Linked DNA regions of Bombyx mori. The protein of the gene in region 1 purifies or fractionates together with the protein of each later gene. This does not show direct contact. Links are inferred from orthologs where the notes say so. Each region holds a gene or a part of one and is shown in the gene's direction. Other genes may lie near its edges. The genes, in order: serine/threonine-protein kinase PRP4 homolog, U4/U6 small nuclear ribonucleoprotein Prp31 and U4/U6.U5 tri-snRNP-associated protein 1.

What was found.
Region 2: the proteins of serine/threonine-protein kinase PRP4 homolog (region 1) and U4/U6 small nuclear ribonucleoprotein Prp31 purify together in Homo sapiens (affinity purification with mass spectrometry; 3 studies listed by BioGRID and IntAct, with this or other methods). This does not show direct contact. The link is inferred for Bombyx mori from reciprocal best matches to the Homo sapiens genes PRP4K and PRPF31.
Region 3: the proteins of serine/threonine-protein kinase PRP4 homolog (region 1) and U4/U6.U5 tri-snRNP-associated protein 1 purify together in Homo sapiens (affinity purification with mass spectrometry; 3 studies listed by BioGRID and IntAct, with this or other methods). This does not show direct contact. The link is inferred for Bombyx mori from reciprocal best matches to the Homo sapiens genes PRP4K and SART1.

What each region holds. Positions count from the first base shown.
Region 1 is NC_085107.1:3,226,774-3,230,536, reverse strand, and holds the start of serine/threonine-protein kinase PRP4 homolog, read left to right. Parts: upstream 1-1,172; 5' UTR 1,173-1,316; exon of another isoform or gene 1,317-1,509; intron 1,510-3,763. UniProt on the Homo sapiens protein: Serine/threonine kinase involved in spliceosomal assembly as well as mitosis and signaling regulation. Connects chromatin mediated regulation of transcription and pre-mRNA splicing.
Region 2 is NC_085116.1:12,759,579-12,763,341, reverse strand, and holds part of U4/U6 small nuclear ribonucleoprotein Prp31, read left to right. Parts: intron 1-3,695; coding exon 3,696-3,763. UniProt on the Homo sapiens protein: Involved in pre-mRNA splicing as component of the spliceosome. Required for the assembly of the U4/U5/U6 tri-snRNP complex, one of the building blocks of the spliceosome.
Region 3 is NC_085118.1:17,269,170-17,271,869, forward strand, and holds part of U4/U6.U5 tri-snRNP-associated protein 1, read left to right. Parts: intron 1-172; coding exon 173-305; intron 306-496; coding exon 497-602; intron 603-737; coding exon 738-869; intron 870-1,129; coding exon 1,130-1,243; intron 1,244-1,326; coding exon 1,327-1,527; intron 1,528-1,632; coding exon 1,633-1,752; intron 1,753-1,824; coding exon 1,825-1,912; intron 1,913-2,225; coding exon 2,226-2,356; intron 2,357-2,570; coding exon 2,571-2,700. UniProt on the Homo sapiens protein: Plays a role in mRNA splicing as a component of the U4/U6-U5 tri-snRNP, one of the building blocks of the spliceosome. May also bind to DNA.

The sequences.
Region 1 (3,763 bases):
TCAATCAATAGATTTATTATAGCATACTGTAATGCGCACTGCAAGCCCCGGGAATCTGTCTGGAACTTATATATATATTAATATCACCTATCTTACTATATGCCCTAACACACTACATACTTGAGAATAATCTATCTAGATTCAAAGATTGTACCTACTTTACTTTACTGTATTGTCTATTAGGCCTAAAATGTACGGAACAAACACAAGATTTAGTTTTAAACGAAGAATTCTACATTTAATCTCATATTATAGAAACCGTCTGATACTTTAAACAAGCTTCAATACCTCAAAGCACAAGAGGTCTGCAAGTTTTTCCACAGTCAAAGTGATCATTGCATACTAATCATCCACGCAATTATTCGACTCTCGACATAATACTGAAGGCTAACAAAATCGATCGCTTTGATTAGTTTTGTTTCCTTTATAAAAATTTAGACACAAAGTCAAAGTCTCTCTATTGTATAACGGTGGTCTTATCCTTTAAATCAGAAAATAGGAGTGCATAGTTGTAGAAATTGGTGGTTTAATTGGGTCAATTTGTCTCATTTACATTCACAGTTATAAATTTATTTTTTCCTAAGCTAGGGAGAAATCTCCTAAGTTGGCATCATTGCTTAAATGGCTTGCTTCTTTTTTCTAAGTACCTATAGCATTTGGTGACTTTATATAGTCTATAATTATGAATATTTACATAACAGAATGTAATGAAGCTATAATATAAAACTTATAAATTGGGACGAAATTGAAGAAAATCAAATAAAATGAAACGAGATGAGATGTGATGAAATGTCCCAGTTCAAATGATGGGAACTTAGTGAGACTTCAGTAGATTTTTTGAAAGAGACTGACAAGCCACGTCTAATAGCTTTATTTAATCTTTCCGTACTAGTTCACTTTCCCAATGACAAACGGCTTAAGAAGAAACACAGTAAAACAATTCATACCACTTTACTTCTCGCGTTACTTCTAAAAAGTCTATCTATTCTTCATTCCATTAAACTAGCGTATTTTTTACTAGCGTATTATTTAAATAAACACACATAAAATATAGGTATGTATATAATCATTATAAGTAAAAAAGGTTTCTATTCTTTTTTTTAAATTTAGGAAGATCAATCGACCATAGAGTACATGATTTCTGGTAACTTATAGGATAAGCCTTGATTTGGTTTTATGGAATAAATTTCATTGCCAGTTGGAACTCTGTAAAAACAAAATAAATCGTGACGGTTTGATACTTTGATAGATAGAGTGTCACGTTTATTATTTTATAGTTTTGTTCTACTTAAATAGTAGTAACCTACTCATTAAAGGTGAAGTTTAGTTACAATAATTTAAAGCTAAATAGAAATACATTTTCTCTAAGTTACTGTACAGTTCACACATTTTTATTATTGAATTTATTCAAAGTTTATCGAACTATTTGTCTGTGAAACAATGCCCACAAATGTTTGGATTTTTTCGTAATTTAGTTTGTTTTTTGGAAAGATTGCAACGGGAATAGCGGTATGTTTAGAAAAATCAAGTTTATTCCCATTCTTAGCGAATTGTCTCTCAAAACGCTATTGTTATCTTCTGGATAATAATATCATTAACAAAAAAAAAAAAAAGAATAGGAACGCTTCGAACGAAATGTTTTAAAAGTTTGCGAATCTCAGTGAACTTAAAGCGCACAGCGAAAGCATTTTCACCACTGATTATATGAATTCCGTTTTCAAAAACATCAGTGAACTCTTTATAGAGTTTCGTGATTTATATTATCAAAAGTACTTTTTTTCACAAAGTGTAGTTTAATCAGTCATTAAGCATATAATTAGAAAATGGGTTACAAATAAGGACATCCATATATTTGAAGTGACATCAAGAAGCAATTTTTTTTTAGCAAAATTTGTATTTCCAAGTTACAAAATTTTAAGGTTAATAATTCTGAAGACAGCAGTTTCAATGAAAATTTCTCGTCAGTGATACATTATTTAAAAATCGTTTTATTTATTTTGCAAAATTGATGTCATTTTATGTGCTTATTGAGCAATAATCATAAAACTAAATAATATAATATAATTAATTATAAAACTGTTATTGGCCCCAATAAAATCTACAGTCCAGAGAAGGACCAGTTGTCATGAGATTACATTTACTAACCGGAGAAGCGCTTAGAACCATATACTTGGAAAAATTAAACGTGGAGCTTGCTCTATTTACTGATTGTAAAATCAAAGGAGATACAATTTATTGTGAAAGTCTTTTAAACTGTTGAAAGTTTGTGTTCAGTTTATTATAGTCAAGGGCGGATCCAGCTTTGGCGCCAGGAGGGGGTCACATAGTCAAATTTAGATGCGTTCGTTCCCAAGCGTTTGCCATTATACAAAGTTATTATATTTAATTAATTAAATATTGAAGGTATGTAGTTACATAAAATCTGTATGGTGACAAAATATATAAATAAAATCATTATATTCAATTAGTTGTCCACCTAAGTCCTGGAACCAGCTCACGAGGTGGTCATGACCCCCATGACCCCCCCCCTGGATCCGCCATTGATTATAGTGTTGATTAATACTTGGGCCATCCTTGGTAGTAAGCAGATTGCTTTTTATTTGTAATACACTTTAATCAGCTTGACCAGTACTTTGTTATCTAAATTATTATCCTTACTTTTTATAGGAATAAAAGTCCAAGCGATACGGTTGTCACCAGAGTTTAATGCATGTTTTAATTTTCAAGTTAGTGAAAATTTAAATGAAAAATTCCATTACATACAAATGTACTGAGTAGGATAAAAAGTGAAAATAACAACTTTTTAAATTCACTTCCTATAAAAAAAAAATTCTAAAAATAATTTATTAATTATTTAAGTATTGCTATAAACTTTTTATATCAAAAATACAAAAGTTTATTACTACCTATTATAAACGTATGATAAAATGTATAATTACATACATACATTCAAACATTTGAGGAAAGTTACCTGCTACTATTTAACACAAGGGAGGCTCTGAGCCCAAACTTATATAATAGATAACTGATAGAAACTTATATATTATTTATACAAGTTTCTATCATTAATATATAATTTATTATGCACATATATATTATATTATCTCTTTATTATGCCCTTAGTTGTGTGGACTATATGTAGATGAGATAGTGTGCTAGGTATTAGAGTACTCCCAGCAGAGCCTTACCTTATTTTTTATGTAGTCATCCAGTTCCGGATGGGTATTTTCATCAAATATGCAAACATGCAAGCTGTTTAGGATATTTTTACAATTGTGGCTTGTGGGGCCAATAGCATTTTTATCATTTCTTGACCATTGGCAGCTCAAAGATTTCATAGATCTCCTATGTTTTGATGAACCATCAAATATATTTCTTTGTCCCAAAATATATATTTTTTTATATTAAGTACTTAAATGGGTGGACGAGCTCACAGCCCACCTGGTGTTAATTGGTTACTGGAGCCCATTAATATCTACAACGTAAATGCTGACACTCACCTTGAGATATGAGTTCTAAGGTCTCAGTATGTTATAACGGCTGCCCCACCCTTCAAACTGAAACGGATTACTGCTTCACTGCAGAAATAGGCGGGGTAGTAGTATCTACCTGTGTGGACTCACAAGAGGTCCGACCACCAGTAATTATACTTTTATACCCTTAGATATTATACATTATATATAGGGTGTGCCCCATACTTCAATACAATATGTCCAAATAGGCTTATGAATTATACTGTATATTTGTTGATTGCTAGTTTTCA
Region 2 (3,763 bases), on another chromosome or scaffold:
ACACCCGATGTACCGTACGTAATTTTGATTTATAGTTGGCGTACTGGATCAGTCTTTTGTTCTAAACATAGACAGCGAAACTGAAGGTATTCTAGATATGCTGATGTATTTACATAACATAATAGATGTAGGTACGGCGTTGGCGTTATTGCGAGTGCTATACATTATTACGATTGGCACGCCCTCCTCTCGACCGATGTTAACCGCCACATCTGTTCTTCAAGTCAGTGTCTCTCAAATTTTATTTATTTATTGTATAAATTTAACACTTTTAAAGATATTCATGTATCTACCTACGGGTCGATGTCGTTTACTAGTTTAAAAATTAAACCGATGTCTAGCATCGAAGAACGGAGACACGAGTTATAATTAATTTTATTTGTTCCAGTGTCCATTTGCTCGACATCTCTGATCATCTGTTTAATGTTTATTTTAATAGTATTCAGTTTAGTGTTTATTTTAATAGCCCTTAAATAACATGAATGAATATTAATATGGACGTTTCAATGGCACGGATAACACAGAACCTCCAAATGATCATCGTTATTACTATTACCCAATTACGTTTAAAGTGTTTCAAATAATCTACTCGCATTAAATATTAAAATTAATCGTAAAATCGGATCTTCTTATTCTTTTTTGCCTTTCGCGGTTGAAACGATGGGCCCTTGGGGCCCTGAAGCAAAGAAATTTTTGTCAGAAATCTCCAAACGCTTGAAGGAGGCTACACGTGATGCTAAGGCTAGCTGATATTTTGCACAGAGAGTGAGTCTGGCTGTCCAACAAGGTAACGTAGCCAGTATCTTGGGAACTGTGCCTCCTTCAAGCGCATTGGAAGATTTGTTCTACTGTGTGAGTTAATTTAAAAATTAAAGATAAACATTAGACAATTTTTTTTTTATCATAATTACTATTTATCGTAAAATAACTAACATTCATTTATAGTAGATATTTCTTTTTTCATTCAATTGACATGTTTATTAAGCTAACATAGTTTCTAAGGAAATGTTTAGGAAGCTTCGCCGTAACCGATTCGAATCAGCAAAACATTATGCCCTCTCGTCTCTCTTACAGCGATGCTCTTAAGATATCCTTTTATAGGGTTATTGAAGAGAAAACTTTGAAGTTTGATCTGTAAACTAAACTAAACAATGATTGCTCTTGTACGCATATCTAGATATTTATTATTACCTCGATGAGCAGATAAGCTCTCTCAGCCCACTCGGTATTAAATGGCACAGCTCATAGGCATCAAAATGTCATTACCCCCCTTGACATACTGTCGAAGTATCAATTTTATTGCATAACGGCATTGGCAAAGTACAAACTGAAACGCATGATGTTTTGGTGGTAGGTACCCGTAGAGAGTACACCCTGCCCACTAGTAATTATGCAAATTTTCCTGCGATTCATGTTATCTATACTAATATATAATAAAACTGAACCATGCATCCGATTGACTTGAAACTTGGTATCCATGTAGAAAATACATGTACTTAATGGATAGGCTAATATTTATATGAGTGTTGGACTCCCTAGTGACTCCTCCGTTAGTGATGAGAATCTTTGTGGGGTTGAGAAATAATAACGTTAATTTTAAATGCCCAGCGAAACAGGCGGGTACAGCTAGTGTGATATATAATGAGCATATTTCTTTAAAAAATCCTACCCATCTGCAGGATTTGTGCCCCGGCAAAGTCGCATCTCGTGGCTATTCTTCTTCTAGCTTCTATAACGTCAGAAACTGTTTTATTGATTATAATGATTACATACTGTACACTGTCCATATTGTACAATTATCATAATAAGAAAATGAAGCAACATGATATAGAGGAAAACATTGAATAGATTGTGCTGTAATCAGTGGTAATTGCAGTACTTGTCACAGCTTGTGCCGATATATACGAGTAGTACTATTCATGAGTTTCGTCGTTGATTACGCGTAATCTCAAGCTTTTCTGATTGCATAAAAAATTGGTTGTCTGTAAAGTCGGTTTACGGACGATAGTTTTACGTGATAACGTCATAAAGAAACATTGCATGAATTTTATGAATTTAATTGAACGTTTATAGGTAACTGAATTATTATTATTTTGTATAATACAAAAAGGTATTATTTTCGATTATTTTTATTTTCGTTAAATTAACGCTTGGGCCGATCGTGCGTCTCTATCGCTTGTTCCGCGCTCTCGCTTGCACGCTCAGTCTCAAGCGGAACGTGACACTTTTTCGAGCGTGCAGCCGGTGTTCATCGATTTATAAGATGTTATTATCGTGTCAAAAACGTACAGAAGTATGTTGTATATTTGATTGAGCCTAGTACAAAACAAAACATTAATTGTATAAGTTTTGAAGGCAAAAGTAGACGATTGGTGCGGGTTAATAAGCGATCTGACAAATTTAATATAAAAATAAAATCCGTTTTATGAATTTGTAAACTTTTGTAAATACAAATACACGAATGTTGGTCTCAGAGTTGTGTAGTTGTGTAATTGCTTCTTTTTTTTATACGAACCTATTTTTTAGTTGAAATCGTCAACGAAGTTTATAGTACTTTAGTTTCTTAAACTGTCCATGCCTGATTCGTGTGGATGAACCCTTTGAATGGCGATAAAATCGATGACGTTATAGAAACAAAATATAATAAAAGGATTTAAAAAACCAAACCTCAACAAAATGATATGCACCACGAACAGGCAATTTACCGGACAAACCAAGTCATTACTTACTTACTTTGTACTATATATTCTTGCCCACTGAGTTTCTCACCGGATCTTCTCAGTGGGTCGCGTGTTCCGATCCGGTGGTAGATTCAGCCAAGCACTGCTCTTACTAGGGCCTGTGTTAGCAACACCTCCTGGTTTGAACTCCGAGAGCTCACGTACACGCTAGGGTAACGCTGATTGATATAGCCTCAATGCTATCAGCATAGGTAGGGAGAAAAAATGTAGGCAGTTCTAATATTGGGCAGTCGAATTCTTATTATAACTATATAAATTGATATACCACGAAAGCTAAAGTACATATTATTATGCATATGGTCACTGGTGGTAGGACCTCTTGGGAGTCCGCACGGGTAGGTACCACCACCCCGCCTATTTCCGCCGTGAAGCAGTAATGCGTTTCGGTTCGAAGGGTGGGGTAGCCGTTGTAACTATACTGAGACCTTAGAACTTATATCTCATATATCTATGTCTAGGAATGAGATCTAGCTGTCAAACGTGGTAAGAAGTTTTATATAAACCTGCTTCTTTCTAACGCGAAGCAATCGGGTGTTCCAATTTGCTGGGATAACCATTATTATAAGTAGAATACCGATTAATATATTCCAATTCAGAGCTCCAACTCTTTCTTTTTCGATTTCGTATTTTTAGTGCGGGCAGTGGCATTCTCGCTGTGGATTCTTAAGGGCTTCGGTAACCTAGTGACATAGGTTGGTCGTGAATTTATCGAACATTAACACACATTCCTGACCTATTGATCATGATCGTGTAGTAAAGAAAATCATATTGACATGAATGATTAACTTCCAGTGTTATTTATTGTCTTACGGATAATTCCAATTAGCATTACGTTTTACGTTCATTGCTTTTAAAGACATTTATCTTCAATGTACTTACTTGGTCGCAATTCGACCCGAAAAACAATATTTAAAGTAAAAATGAAATAATCACTATAGGTATAATTGTTCACAGGGTTTGGAAATCGTCAATCCTCAAGCCGCAGAAACTAGGACCAACGAAGGCAATGCCAAGTATTTCTC
Region 3 (2,700 bases), on another chromosome or scaffold:
TTTTTTATTGCGTTGATAAATTAACGTATTATATTAAAGTCATTAACAAATCAACATCAAGGTACATATAGCTTTTATTAATATTGTGTTCACAGTTGTCTTCCGACCGCGATCACTAACTAAAACTTGCTGTTTAAGTGTGAGTTCTACTATGGTTTTAATCCATTCACAGATGATGGTAAATTCAAAGATGACCTTGGCGAGTTCTACCATAAGCCGGCTACTAATATCACTGAACAGAAGAAAACAGAAAAACTCAAAGAGAAAATAAAAGAGCGAAAGGAGAAGAGGAATATTGAAGAGAAGTATGAAATACTATATTTTTGTTCCATTGATTGGCTTGAATTTTTTGATATTATTGTAATAAACGATAAAATATTACATTATATTGAGGAATAAGTACTGTTTGAATAAATGATCATCATAATAAGAACCAAATGAAATAAACTGGAAATTAATAAAAAAAAATTGTAATATAATGCATAATTTCATTTAGATTACAGACTACCCTACTCGGTGAAGGGTCTGACGATGATGACGCGTCGGCCTGGGTGAAGCGCTCCAGAGCAATAGAGACGCAGAAGAAAGAAGCTGCAAAAAGGGTGAGCATACAATAAATGCATTTTTTAGCTGCTGAGAACAAAAATCAAAAATCAATAGTTTTATCAGTTTAGATCCATGACCTAAACACCACAGAGACAACATAAGATATTAATGTGAAGCATGTGTGTACGCAGGCGGCCATGCTGGACGAGATGGACGCGGCGTTCGGCGTGTCCGCCCTGCTGCCCCCCCGCGCGCCCCCCGCGCCCGCCCCCTACCGCGCGCCCAGCCTGCGGGGGCTGCGGGTCGCGCACCAGCTCGATGCGGTACTCACACCTTCCCACCCCCCATATATTAATGGGAATACCAGCAGGCTATTTGATTTTGTGGTCATCCAAAAAATTTAATAAAATGCGAAATAATTTAGTTCTGTACTAATCACAGGTTGGTTTAAACTTTGAGCATTTCAATCACGCGTTGATTATTTTCGTTTCACGATTTCTAATCTCGTGGCGACCACACGTGTTAGTTCTAAATACTACATGAAACAAAAAAATCTGTATTAATAGATCTATAATCTGTACAGTTGGAAGATGAACGTGAAACCATTCTAACGTTGGCTGATAAAGAAATATTAGCTGAAGACCCAGAGGATGTGCTCATCAATGTCAATATTGTTGACAACGAGCGATACAAGAAGGTAAGATAACTGTTTTTACTATTTTACTTACATACATCAGTCAGTGAAAGACCATAATAAATGATATAATGGGTTTTGTTCAGAACGTGGAAGAACGCAAGAAGGCGCGCGCCGGCTACCAGGCTTACGACGAGGAGGCCGAGCTGCAGGCCTCCCTCGGCTTCCGACGCTCCGTCCTCTCCAAGTACGACGAGCAGATCCAGCCCGACCAACTCGATAAGGACAAGGGCTTCGTCATAGGGGACGAAGCCTCTCTCGACGCTCACAGGCGCAGAGAGCTCTTGGTGAGGCCCGCGTCACGTCGCATCACGCCGCGTCACGCCACGCAGCGTCACGTCACGCCGCGTCACGTCACGTGGCGGTGCGTTAACGTAACTGTGTATGTGCAGCTCGCGCAAGGCCCCGCCTCTCGCCGCATGGAGTCGCTTGCGCTGCCGCAGCCGCAGCTCGCAGCCGACTACATGGACCAGCACGAGATCCAAGCCAAGTTCAAGAAGACTAAGAGAAAGGTCAGTGGCCCCGCTCGTCGAGCGTCGCGCCGGCGCGGGCGGACCCGTGTGTACGTGTGTGTTTGTGTGCAGGGCAAGATGCGGACCAAGCCCAAGGACGAGCCCATCGACGCGGACACCTACGACGCCGCCGCCGCGCCACTCGACACCGACGACACAGGTCTGACGCGTCCTCCAGTCTTATATATATGTAGTAGTTTAATCTCACGTTTGCATGATCATCATATTATTTCAGCCCCGTTTCGAATAGTTTGTCGCCGCTGTGTCGGCGCGCCCTGCTCGTCCGCATTTAATGAATTATTAAAGTTCTTATAAAAACTCGATACATAACATACATATTTTTTTATAATTTACATAATTCTGATTATTTCAAACTTTACAACAATCCTGTTCCTTATCGACCTAAAAATGTAAGTAAAAGCGGGCTGTGCCCTAAAAACTAGTTATCAATCGACCTGTCGTCCCCTCCGCAGACGTGCGGGCGGGGGCCGCGGCGCTGGTGGTGGACGAGGAGGAGACGGAGCCCGACACCGAGCTGCACGCCGCGCTGGCCAGGGCGCGCCGCCTCAGGCTCAAGGAGGTGCAAGATGCCGCTGTGCCTAAGGTATCTTATATATTTCATAGATTCAAAGGTTCACTGGTAATAATATAATCGCATTTGAATGTCATTAAAAAAAATATTTATTAGATAAACAACTGTCGATAGTAAAATGTTTGCCGTGAAGGGTCACCTGCTACACCCGCCTGACTCTATTTTTTGTTGTACTGAGTGCCTGATGTCGTAAATAGGTTTAGTTCTAAAACTTGGTTCGGTTCAGGTGGAAGAACTCCTGGAGCGCGTGAAGGAGGAGCAGGTGGAGGCGGGGCCGGAGGGCATGCTGTTCGACGCCACCGCAGAGTTCTGCCGGACCCTCGGGGAAGCCCCGGCGTACTTCGCCAAGCAGAACC